Caenorhabditis elegans: one gene and its partners. The protein of the gene in region 3 purifies or fractionates together with the protein of the main gene of each other region. This does not show direct contact. Each region holds a gene or a part of one and is shown on either strand. Other genes may lie near its edges.

Region 1 (3,757 bases), about 12 Mb from region 3:
CAAATGTTATTTTAGTGGAATTCGATTTATGACTCGCAAACACCAAATGGAAGGTAAATCTAAAAAATGTAAATTCTTTCATTTTGGCGCCAGAAAACTTTCGTACAAAAAATGTAGGAACACTGCAGAAAAATAATTTTTTATCCAGACAGTGGTTTTCTTAAAAAAAAACTTCGTACCTATAATTAAATTCTGATACCTCAAAAATTGAAAAATCGACCACACAACAGCTTCAGGACCCCTGAGGTTTTCAAAAACTTTACAAAAATTTACCATACTTTTAAAATAAGTATCAGATTGTTTAAATATTCAAATAACATTTAATTATGTAATTTGATGAAGAAGAAGTTTTTCTCTGAAAGATTCCTGGTCACGAAACATTTACAATTAACCATAAATCAAAAATTCAAGTCAGAAAAGTACTTGAACACGACCTTCTGGAGAAACGATTTCTGAGAAATAAGGAAATTGGGAAACTTGTGTACCCCGATTGATCAAATTAGCAGGTTTGTGGAAATGTATTACATCAACGATCAAATGTTTATCGGCGTGAAACAACTACCGCGCGGCTCATTTTATTGAACTTTTTGGCGAGTTCAGTCACATTTTGAAAGCTTTTACTTCTGAGTTTCATAAGTATGTAGTTTTTTGGAATATAACTAAATCTATTGGTTTCCAAAAAAATCTACTTAGATTTGGTAGAAAGTTCAATTTTTCTAGATTTGTTAGGTCGTCACTAAGTTTGCAAAAATAGCATAAATTTATGACATTTTCGAAGTTTGTTTGCATTTTTCTCGCTTCGGCAGCTAAGAAGCCACAGACAAAACACAGCAGGATACCTGATTTCTACTGCGGTGTAGTAGATTTCTGGTCAAATTAGAAGTCGAACAAATTATGAGGATCTACTTTTTTCAAACAACTATTCGAACTGAATCCGCTGAGTTTCTTCTAGCAATTCCTACAATTGTTTTTTTTGACATGTACCCCAAACCTTTGATTTTCAATTTTGACTTCATCTTCAGCACCGACTACTCTTAGTCCTTTCTTAGCCCGATAATTTGGATCAAACGTTACTTTTAGGTGGATAAGAAGCTCAATTTTTTTGAATAGGCCCTTGTTTGAATAGAATTAAAACCAAGTTTTTGTCCAATTGATAAATTTCCAGCTGTTGAACCTAGGATTCTGAAATGTTGAAATAAAAAGGTTTCTGTAAAAATTGAAGAACTAATTGTAAAGATTTTTCTGGTAAAGCCTCTATTCCGGACAAAAAATCAGGAAAGATGTGGGGTCCCATTTACTTTCCAATTAACCCGGGAAATGTCCGCTGCAAGACATCAGTTTTTTACACTTTTTTGCCGTATTGTTTTGCATCGCCAACCTAGATGATCATTTGATCTGTCACAAAACACATTTCCCTTTTTAAATGTCCCTAATCACTAACACAGCATTTAGCATTACATCGAAACTCCAAGTCAGAGCCTCCTAGAAAAATAAATTTCCGAGAAAAAAAAATTGAAAACTCCGCACCTCAAATTATCAAATTAGCAGGATTACGGTGGTATTACATCAACGATCAAGAATTTTTCGGCGCGTCCAACTCTACCGCGCGGATCATTTTACATGCAAATGGGGCTTTGAACTTTTAGGCTCTGGTTTTCTGGCTTTTTAAGGAATTTTTCTTGTAACGCTTAGCTTGTGAACACTTTCGGAATTCCTATCGAAACCTATTATATTAAACATCTTCCAGGAAACCAATGGCATGGCCAGACAACAACACCTCAAACTGCCGGGAAACCTACTCCTATTTTGGCTCGGCAGACTATCTGCGCAATGCATATCATTTCACAGCACTTTTAACAGTTCCTCTATCCATATTCACATTTTACACAGTTATAACAAAGACGCCAAAGCGGATGAAAAATATGAAAATCCCACTTTTAATATCCCTGGCTTGGAGCACAAATCTCGATTTGATGTTCACAGTGTACTCGGGGCCGTATATATTTTTTCCGAGTGCCTCCGGAGTACCCCTTGGGCTTCTAGGATATTTGGGAGTAGGTGTCAAGTGGCAGTCGTATTGGGGACAGGTTTCCGTCACTAGTAAGTTTTAGGATCTTTTAGGAAATTTAAATATAAATTTCAAATACCACATGTTTTTCAGTGATGGGTGTCTGTTTTATAATGCTCTATGAAAATCAACATAGTCAAATTTCCACGATTCGATTCAAAATCAAACGGAGAAAAACTCGTTTAACATATTTCGCATTAAACTATTTATTCACATTTGTTGTTATGCTTCCATTTTATCTAGACGACACTGACCAATTGAAAATGAGACAGAAGGTCTTGGAGGTTAGTAAAATGTACTAAAATGCCCATTCAGAGATATTAGAAATGTTCAAAAAATTTTATAAAATTTTATATTTAAAGTCAAAAATGTGAAAACTCTCAGTTTTCACATATCCTAATTTTGGAAGTCGACCAAAAGATTTTTTTTGAATTAATTGCGTTCTTATTAATAATATTGAAACATTCTAGGAGTTCAGATCTGCGGGAATTTTCAATTTTTTTCAAAAATGTCAATTTTTGAATAACTAAAAACTTTTGAAGTGTTTATTATATTTTTCGGTCGTGTGTATTTAACACCCGTCTTCAAATTCAACTTAATTTTACAGAGAATCCCCTGTCCGACGAGCGAATTCTGGGACCCAAAAACCTATGTACTGCTGCAGGGCGGAGAGGTCTTGCCATTCTGGTCAATCACAATTGGTTTTGGATTTGTTATTTTCCAAACTTTTTTCTTTTTGTTACACACCGTTTATCACCTCACACTAGTATCAAGTGCCAAAATATCGGCGGCGACGAAGAATCTTCAGCGAAAGTTTCTGAAGAATGTTTCTATTCAGGTGAGTATAACTATAACTGAAAATTAACTGGAATAGCCAAATGAAACTGCAAAAAAATGCAAAAAAAATTTAAATGGGTTTGTTTCAATTTTAAAAATTTAAAAATGTTTTTGACAAATTGAAAAACCACAAAATTTTTAAAATTTTAAACATTTAATTCTAGCATGTGTTTTTTTAGATCTCAATTCCATGGATTGCCATTGCATTTCCTGTGGCCTACACTATGTATGCAGACAAAATGAATTACTATAATCAAGGTGAGAAAGTGCAAATTATTTAAAAAAGCCAAAACATGGCTAACACGTTCCAAACTTTTGCAGCCTACAACAACAACGCTATGCTAATTATGGCAAATCACGGACTTCTATGCACCTGTTGCACCCTTTTTATTTACAAACCATACAGAGATTTCACTAAAAGTCTGATCCCTGGACAACGATTTTCACAACGGAGAATGACTATCATCGTGGAACCTGTGACGTCTCCACATGGAAGTGTGTCTAATTAGTTTTTTTTAAATTTTCGTTTTATTTGCCAAGCAAGATTTTTTTACAAATATTTAGTAAATATGTTTTTTTTGGACAAAACTTGACTATTTTCACTCGGGAAACAGATGCGCATCTTGCTAGTGAGAGCCATTTTGGCAATTTTGGCATATTCATCAATTTTGAAAAATTTTGGCAATTTCACGAATTTCAGCAATTTTGACAATTTATCCATATCGGCAAAGTTGTCAATTTTGGTAATTTCGATAACTCTAGGATTTCTGACAATTTTTTTCAATGTTCGCAAATTCAAACTTTTTGGCAGTTTTAAAATATTTGGGCAATTTGGACAAACTTAGAACTTTC
Region 2 (3,638 bases), 2.1 Mb from region 3:
AATTGTTTTTTAAGTTTCGAAAAATATCAAAATTTTGTAAACAACTGAACCAATACAACAAATTCTTGAGAAATTATAGAGTGGACTCTTTTCTTTGGCTCATACAGATTTTTGAGCGAAAAAATTATTTTCTAGTTTGCTTCTCTGCTTCTAAATATTTCCGATAAAACATTTTTTGTCTGAATTATTGAAATTTGTTGGGTACAGCTATCCGAAACTTTAATAAAATTCCTAAAAATTATATCAATGTACAAAAACTGGCAATTTCAAGTAACATTACAACCAAGTGTTGAATAAATCCTTGCTAATGGTAGTTAATTTATTCTAAACTTCAAACTAATTTTAAATGTTACCTGCCAGGTACCAAGACCAATACTTGGCATGAGAACTCCATTAGACAGAGTGAAGATTGGAACTTTTGATGACATTTCGAAGGAAAATAAAGTTTGTATAGTTGGGGGTACTTCATATTTATACACAAACCGCAATCCTAATTATCGAATTAAAACTGGAAGAAAGACCTTGAATTTGTGGTCTGTGTGTGTGTTTCTCTTAATATATAAAGAAAATAGTTTGCGCTGTTCCAATTTGTACTTCGTTTTATTGAAATTAACAACATGGACGAGGGGAATGATGAGGAAAAGATTATGTCAAATGGGTAGAAGTAGACGAATAATGACGACTTGGAAGAACACAAAATACATTTTTAAGTACCAGAAGTTTAGGTGACTTGTTCCATTTCCTTTCCATTTTTATTTCTAATTTCTCGGTCTTTTTCCATCTTCTCCAGTCGTGAATTGGTGTATTTGTAATATCCTTCCTTCCCTAAATACCACATCAAGCGATATTCATGCTTTTGATTCATTCTCTCTGCTTTCTTTTTTCTTTCCTCAAAAGTTCGTTCCAGTTTCTCAAGTCGTTTCTTCTTGTACATTCGGTATTTTTCAATAATATGGTCGTTGTGGTCGGCAAAGATGTGAATCTAAAAATTCGATTTTTTTTTCAATTGTAGAGAATTTGGTGTATGTTGTTTCCTAACAGGATTAAAAAGTTAATTTGATGTTTTTGTGAGTTCATTGTACATTTTAACAAAATAAACCTACATTTGATATATGCCAACCAAACTTTCAAAATTTTCAGACTGGAATTTAATTTCAAATTTAAGACAATAATGCCAAACGTGTTCAAGATTTTGACATCTTTATTTAAAACAATTCTAGAAACTCACCGCCCATTCTCCAGCTAAGCCGTCTCTTTTGAATTGAGCATTTTTTAGAAGATAGTCATCTAATGAGTTTTCCAATGCAAATGCCGATGAATAATGAAATCGGAAAGGTTTAATACATCCAATTGGGTGAAGAGAACGGAAGAAATGCTGAAGTTTTGAATAGTTACTATCATTCATTGCAGCATATCCAGGGAAATACTCATTGAATTCTTCAATCGCAGCGACATACTCAATTGACATCAATTTGTGCTCCGATTTTGGGAATGTATCTCTCCATAGTTTGATTACTTTTTCGAACATTTTGAAGATAAGCAGGTTAGTTAGGAAGTGTCCCTGGAAATATTATTATTGTTATTATTATGAAAGAGATGGATAAATGTAGTAAGTATGCAAAAAGTAAATGAAAAGCCAATCGTATGCAAAAGAATAAATGGACAAAAGCTGTAGAGAAGCAGACAAAATGAAAGAGAACGAGAAATAGGATGAGGAACACTACACACATACAAACAAGGAGGCAACGAGTGGACCACCTCAAGCATCTTGTGAGTTATAATTTGCACACACCCCCCGTACACTTCCCCGCTTGTTTTTGATTTGATTTTGTAAAGGATGCAGAAAAAGAATTGAACAAAACAACACGTCATGATGCTCTGCTAGAGTGCTTGGAGCAAATGATAAGAGAAATATTAGAAGCTTTTATTGAAATCAGGTGGTCAGTGGGTGAAGCGCATGGTTTTCCCACAACAATGTGACCTCGATTATGAATTACAAGACTTTATGAAAAATTCGTACTTTATGAAAAATCGTTTGGTAAAATCTTTACGACTTACTTCCGTACTGGATCATCCTAGTGGGTACCTTCATAATACGTACAGTAAGCCTTCCACAAGGACGCAACTTGCGAAAATATTTTAAAATTAAACTCAACAATACTATTTTTAGTTGAACTTAGTTAAAGCTAGAATATGCGAGATTTTAACAAAGTGTTTATCCTGAAATTTAGTGCTGGTCTTGCTCTATTATTTGTACCTTCTATTGGAAACTTGACACCGTGAACTCATGATTTTCTATATCAATTTTCACATTTTTCCACCTCTTCAAAACTTTCCCTCTTTCAAGCTTGAAGTCCCTCTTCGGTTTTCTACAATGCTAACGAGCTTCAGTATCACGCATTACCCATGCGCAAGAAAATGAGAACAGACAAGAAATTTCAATCAAGCCTATTATTATTTTTCTCACTTTTTTTTCCTGTCTACTCACTTTCTCTTGAAGGAAAAGCTTAAAGCAGTGGCACCCACTGCCATCACTACTACAAACCGGTCATTGTCAACAAATAACACAACAACGCATTTTTGTTTTGTTGACGCCATGATGCGCAAGCAGGCATCTAGAATTATTATGCAGTGGTGGGATGGTAATTGTGAAAAATCCGGATGTTTTTACATTTTATACAAAAATTCATATAAGGAGTTGAGGAAAAATGAATACTTGAAACATGAATACATATGAAACAATTAGAGAAGTTACATTTCTATGTACAAATAAGAATGTTAAAAACATTTAGTTACAGTTTGTTCAATTTAATAACTAAAGAAAAACAAACGGTTCTTTGGCATTATTGAACAATTTTGAAAATGAAAAAATTCGGAAGAATGTTAATGAGAAATTTGAAGCAAGAAACACGTTACAGAGTGCACAAGTACCCGTTGGCAGAAAAGCAAGATACTTGGCACCTATAGCATTTCATATTCTAGAGCATCAACGTCCTTGTCCTCGATTTTCTCCAACTCTTCAATGTCACTTCCATCGTCTGAATCCTGATCACATTTGTCGAATTCTTCATGACTATCGGAATCACTCGCATCGTCCACAATTTTCGATTGTGACGCAGCCTAAAAATAGTTTTGTTGAAACTTTACGAGTGAACAATTTGCTTCCCAACAATTAATTAGAAATAACGAGAGAACCATTTTATTTATTATTATTTTGCACAAATCAAACTTTAAGCTAGAACTTACTTTTGTGTTCTTCTTGTCATCCAAGTTCAGTTGCTCCATAACATCTTCTAAAAGAGATGCTGCAATTGTAACTTCATTCGTCTTTTCGGGAACATCTGATTTAAGGTTTTCAGATTTTTCAGTTTTATCCTTTTTCACAGTTACAGATTTAGCAACTTTGAATTTTGCTTCGTGTTTCTTTGTCACAGACATCATCGACTTTTCTGTACTACTTTTCGATTGATGCTTTTTTTGAATAAGATTAGCTTTTGCAGCAGATATGGCAAGTGAATCATCTTCTTTAACCGGCAATGAAATAATGACATTTTCAACTTGCACAGGCGCGGCTACAACAGTTTCTGGTTTGGTCAGTTCACAAACAACCGACACGTTTTTCTTTTCCAGCTCTTCAA
Region 3 (3,757 bases):
GTTTGTGAAAAGTTGGAAACTGATCTATTCTTTGAGGCACAAAATGTTCAACAGAGTTCAACAAAGTTTAATTTTCTAGAACCACAATATTGAAGTGTGTTTGGGGAAAGTGGCTAGAGAAGATACTGAAAAATGTAGTACATGTTTCCAAACTTACTCTGGTATTGACAAATGAATAACTACACTGAAATTTTTAAAATAAAAATCCCTCGCAAGAAATTGGTAATTTAATTTCAAGTGCCAAATTTGAAAAATTTCGGTTCCTTTCTTTAAAATATTGTTTTGCGTGTTTAAAGCTATACAATTTAAAAAAACAAATATGTATAAAATTCAGGAAAAACACGAAATTTAGGTCGATTAGCAAAATTATTATAGTTTTTTTGGCACTTTTTAATCTATAAATTTAAATAATGCCACTATCAGGTTTCGTTTTTTTGAAAAACTCCAATTTAGGAAATAATGTTTCCAATAGTTTCAGACTTTATTCAAACGATAAACTTCCAGAATATTACATGTTACATCAATAGTTGGTTAGCTATCCGCTTGGAATACTTCGAAATCGGACGAACTTTCCTTATTTTTCTAGAATCTTCTCTTCCAGGATGCCTCACACTGTCAAAGCTTTTTGTTTCATTGTAAGATATATATCATATTTTAAAAAAATATTATTATTATTCATTTTCAGATACTTCCACTTGCAAAATGTTACGGGATTATTTCTAGTTATTTATCGCTTCACATCAGTTTACTCAATAAATTCTGAAAAGGTATGCAGACTGGAAATTCTACTCTAATACTTTATACTCTAATAATATTTTGCGATTAATTTTCAGGTATGGAATCGCTGGTATTTTTTAGTTCCAGTTCTCGGACTGTTATATTCTTTTATTATTATTTCCCCATGGTGGCTTTTTCAAAATTATGTTACTAGAGTTAGAATTATTGATGGGAAACTTATTAAAATAGTTAATCAGGTTTTTTTCAGTGAATAAAATAACATTTCCTAATATCTGGTAATTTCAGAGAGCACTTTTAACTCAAGCATCTATAAATCCATATTTCTCTGCATTTTATTTTCTTTTAATTATATTAATTGGTGTTTGGACTACTGTACTCTTAGAGAACAGATGGAAAAAGAGTCATTCGAGAAGACATAATCACTTTATTAAAAAATTAACACGTGTCATATTTTGTAACAGTTTTTTGATGTCTGGAAATTTATTGCTTTTGGTATTCAACAGATTTCAGGTTTAAAATATTTTTAGTTGGTTTTCAGATTGCCACCAGTGTGATGTACGTTATTTGCCCTTTTCGAACAGTTATTATGAAAATACAAACAATTGCTGTAACATTTACATCGGATATGGTAGGTTATACCAACATCAATTTAATCTGCCCGCAAAGTAAATTCGACCCTCTCCAGCTGATTGGTCGATTCAAGCGGGAAGTTGAATCTGGATATTGTGTGTATTCAGTTGAAGCTTGCTTAGGTTTAAGATTTCAAAAATTTTAAAATATTTTCCACCGCCAGAACAGAAAAACAAGGAGAATGTCAAAGAATAAGTCTTGAACTTTCTTTATTAAGTTCGCTTGTTGGAGTTCTTTTTTTTTCAGGTAACTCTAGCCATGCCGTACATCCTTCTGGCATTTGACTCGAACATGCGAAGAATTCTGAGAATTGAAAAATCAAAAGGTTACGACAGCAGAACAGCATCCAATTATGCAGAAAACTAATATTATTTGTATTAAGTCTCCCATTTTAAAATTTAGTGATCTTCGATCTATATGATTAACAGAAATGATATCACTCACTCAATCATTTTGTCATTTTTCCCCTTCCTTTTTTCTGTTCTAACCCATATCACAATCTTACCAAGTTCGGCGAGATGACCAAGAGAAAAAAGATCGAATCCAATTTTCTTATTTTCTTCATCATTTGATAGTTTTTCCAACTGTTTTTGTTTCGATTACCTCTTCGATTTTTCTATTTACTTTGAATGAAAAGATCAATTTATTTTAAGTTGGAAAAACCTGTTCACATGCGACACTTTTCCGTTGTTTTTACCTATTTTTTCTTCCTTTTGTTTTTTATGATTATTTTTCTAAGTTCAGGTCATTCAATGTGGCCTTTGTTTTTATTGGGTATTATTGGAGTGGTTTCTGCTGGAATTCCAGGCACAAATGGAGATATTCGTCAGCCAAATTTTCAGAAAGAGCTCATGGATGAAGCCAAGGTATGTAGCAGTTTGAGCAGTTTTAAAAGTGAGGAAGTGATTCTGCCTTTCGCTTTTATTTTTTCTCTCATCCTTCGTTCGCCCGGAAAATGCCTCCAAAAGAGAAATAAAATTAAATAGAAAATTAAAAAAAAGGAGAATTCAACTGCAACGAAATACATTGAAATTAAACATTGAAATTGAAATTTTAGAAAAAAGTTTTGAATAAATTATTCAACAGCTACTTTGTCAGTGTGATGTTGAAAATTTTTTGTTTTCATCAGTTTCACAATACATACAAACAGTTTAATTATAGAAACTCTTCTGAAGAAAGTTTCTTAAAAAATGACTGAATGAAGTTTGTAACTGAGAGATTTTCAGGTATATCTCTTCAAATTCGGTTACATGATTCCTGAACCACACCAAAATGTAAAAACAATTCAAGAGCCAAGTGAAAAACAGACAAAAGATGCTCTTATGTAAGTACTAATTGTAAATGTAACTTTTTTGAAAAAGTTGTTTAGTCGCTTCCAATCTGCATTCCTCTATTATTCATCAGGAGATGTTGATGTTCCAACTCAAGCAAAAATGAACGAATGGAGATGTGCTAATAATGATATGGATAAGGGACAACCAATTCCACGTGAGAATAACAGATTTAAAATATTTTAGTAGGTAAATTCAATGAAGCGCGAGACGCCTCGATGGTTCCGCATTTCTTATAGTGTCAAAATCTGATGGAGGTAGCACCTAGAAGGTGTCGGCTACAAAACATTTTATTTGAATTCTATACTCTACGAGGGCTCCTCTAGTTCTTTTTAATTCACAGCTTAATTTCAGCAGCTTCGAAAAAAGAGTTATGGACGAAGAAATCACTGACCTACAAAGTGGTAAACACTCCAAATACTCTTTCTCAAGCACAAATAAGGTTAGCTAAAAATTTGAAAAAACAAATCCTAAAAATATTTCAGATCTGCCGCCCATGAAGCATTTGAACAATGGACCAGAGCCAGTGGTTTCAAATTTGTGGAAACAACTGGAGCAACCCCAGATATAACAATCACCTTCTACGATGTCCCACAAAGCAATTTGAGAAGTAGATTTTCCTTATATAATTCTATATATTTTATACTGTAATTTCAGTTGCTGGAAGTGCATCAAAACCAGTGAACAGTCATATCATTCTTGATAAAAATCAGGAATGGGCATACAAGTCACAAGCCCCAATGGGAATCTCTCTTTATCATACGCTTCTTCACGAAATTGGACACATTTTGGGTTTGCCACACACTTTTTATAGAGGGTAAGTGGTTATAATGACAGACATTTAAATTTTTGTAGCAAATCTGATATGATTTTTGTTGCATAGAAATTTTCAAAATAAGCCCAAATGTTTACCTACTCCCAAATACCCTAAAAATATACAAACTCTACAAAGAAATTCTACAAGCTTCGTAAATTGTGAAAAAAAAGCACCTAAACAATTTATAACTTAACAACATCTTGAATTTAATTTTAGAAATTCAATGCGAAGCTTAGTTTAG

The links.
Region 1: the proteins of zmp-4 (region 3) and srh-56 fractionate together in Caenorhabditis elegans (co-fractionation; one large-scale study listed by BioGRID). This does not show direct contact.
Region 2: the proteins of zmp-4 (region 3) and ZC443.2 fractionate together in Caenorhabditis elegans (co-fractionation; one large-scale study listed by BioGRID). This does not show direct contact.

Annotation. Positions count from the first base shown.
Region 1 is NC_003283.11:2,770,106-2,773,862, forward strand, and holds srh-56 (Serpentine Receptor, class H), read left to right. Parts: upstream 1-1,754; coding exon 1,755-2,100; intron 2,101-2,161; coding exon 2,162-2,352; intron 2,353-2,675; coding exon 2,676-2,906; intron 2,907-3,084; coding exon 3,085-3,163; intron 3,164-3,226; coding exon 3,227-3,414; downstream 3,415-3,757.
Region 2 is NC_003283.11:12,809,631-12,813,268, forward strand, and holds ZC443.2 (uncharacterized protein), read right to left. Parts: upstream 1,563-3,638; 5' UTR 1,529-1,562; coding exon 1,229-1,528; intron 1,110-1,228; exon of another isoform or gene 983-1,109; coding exon 722-982; 3' UTR 582-721; downstream 1-581. Other genes in the region: ZC443.1 (NADP-dependent oxidoreductase domain-containing protein), read right to left, coding at 354-428; ZC443.3 (Glutamic acid-rich protein-like), read right to left, coding at 2,962-3,120, 3,247-3,638.
Region 3 is NC_003283.11:14,919,965-14,923,721, reverse strand, and holds the start of zmp-4 (Peptidase metallopeptidase domain-containing protein), read left to right. Parts: upstream 1-2,112; 5' UTR 2,113-2,120; coding exon 2,121-2,234; intron 2,235-2,594; coding exon 2,595-2,692; intron 2,693-2,737; coding exon 2,738-2,856; intron 2,857-3,053; coding exon 3,054-3,141; intron 3,142-3,184; coding exon 3,185-3,309; intron 3,310-3,356; coding exon 3,357-3,516; intron 3,517-3,757. Other genes in the region: srg-54 (Serpentine receptor class gamma), read left to right, coding at 505-635, 686-767, 834-974, 1,024-1,230, 1,277-1,366, 1,615-1,734.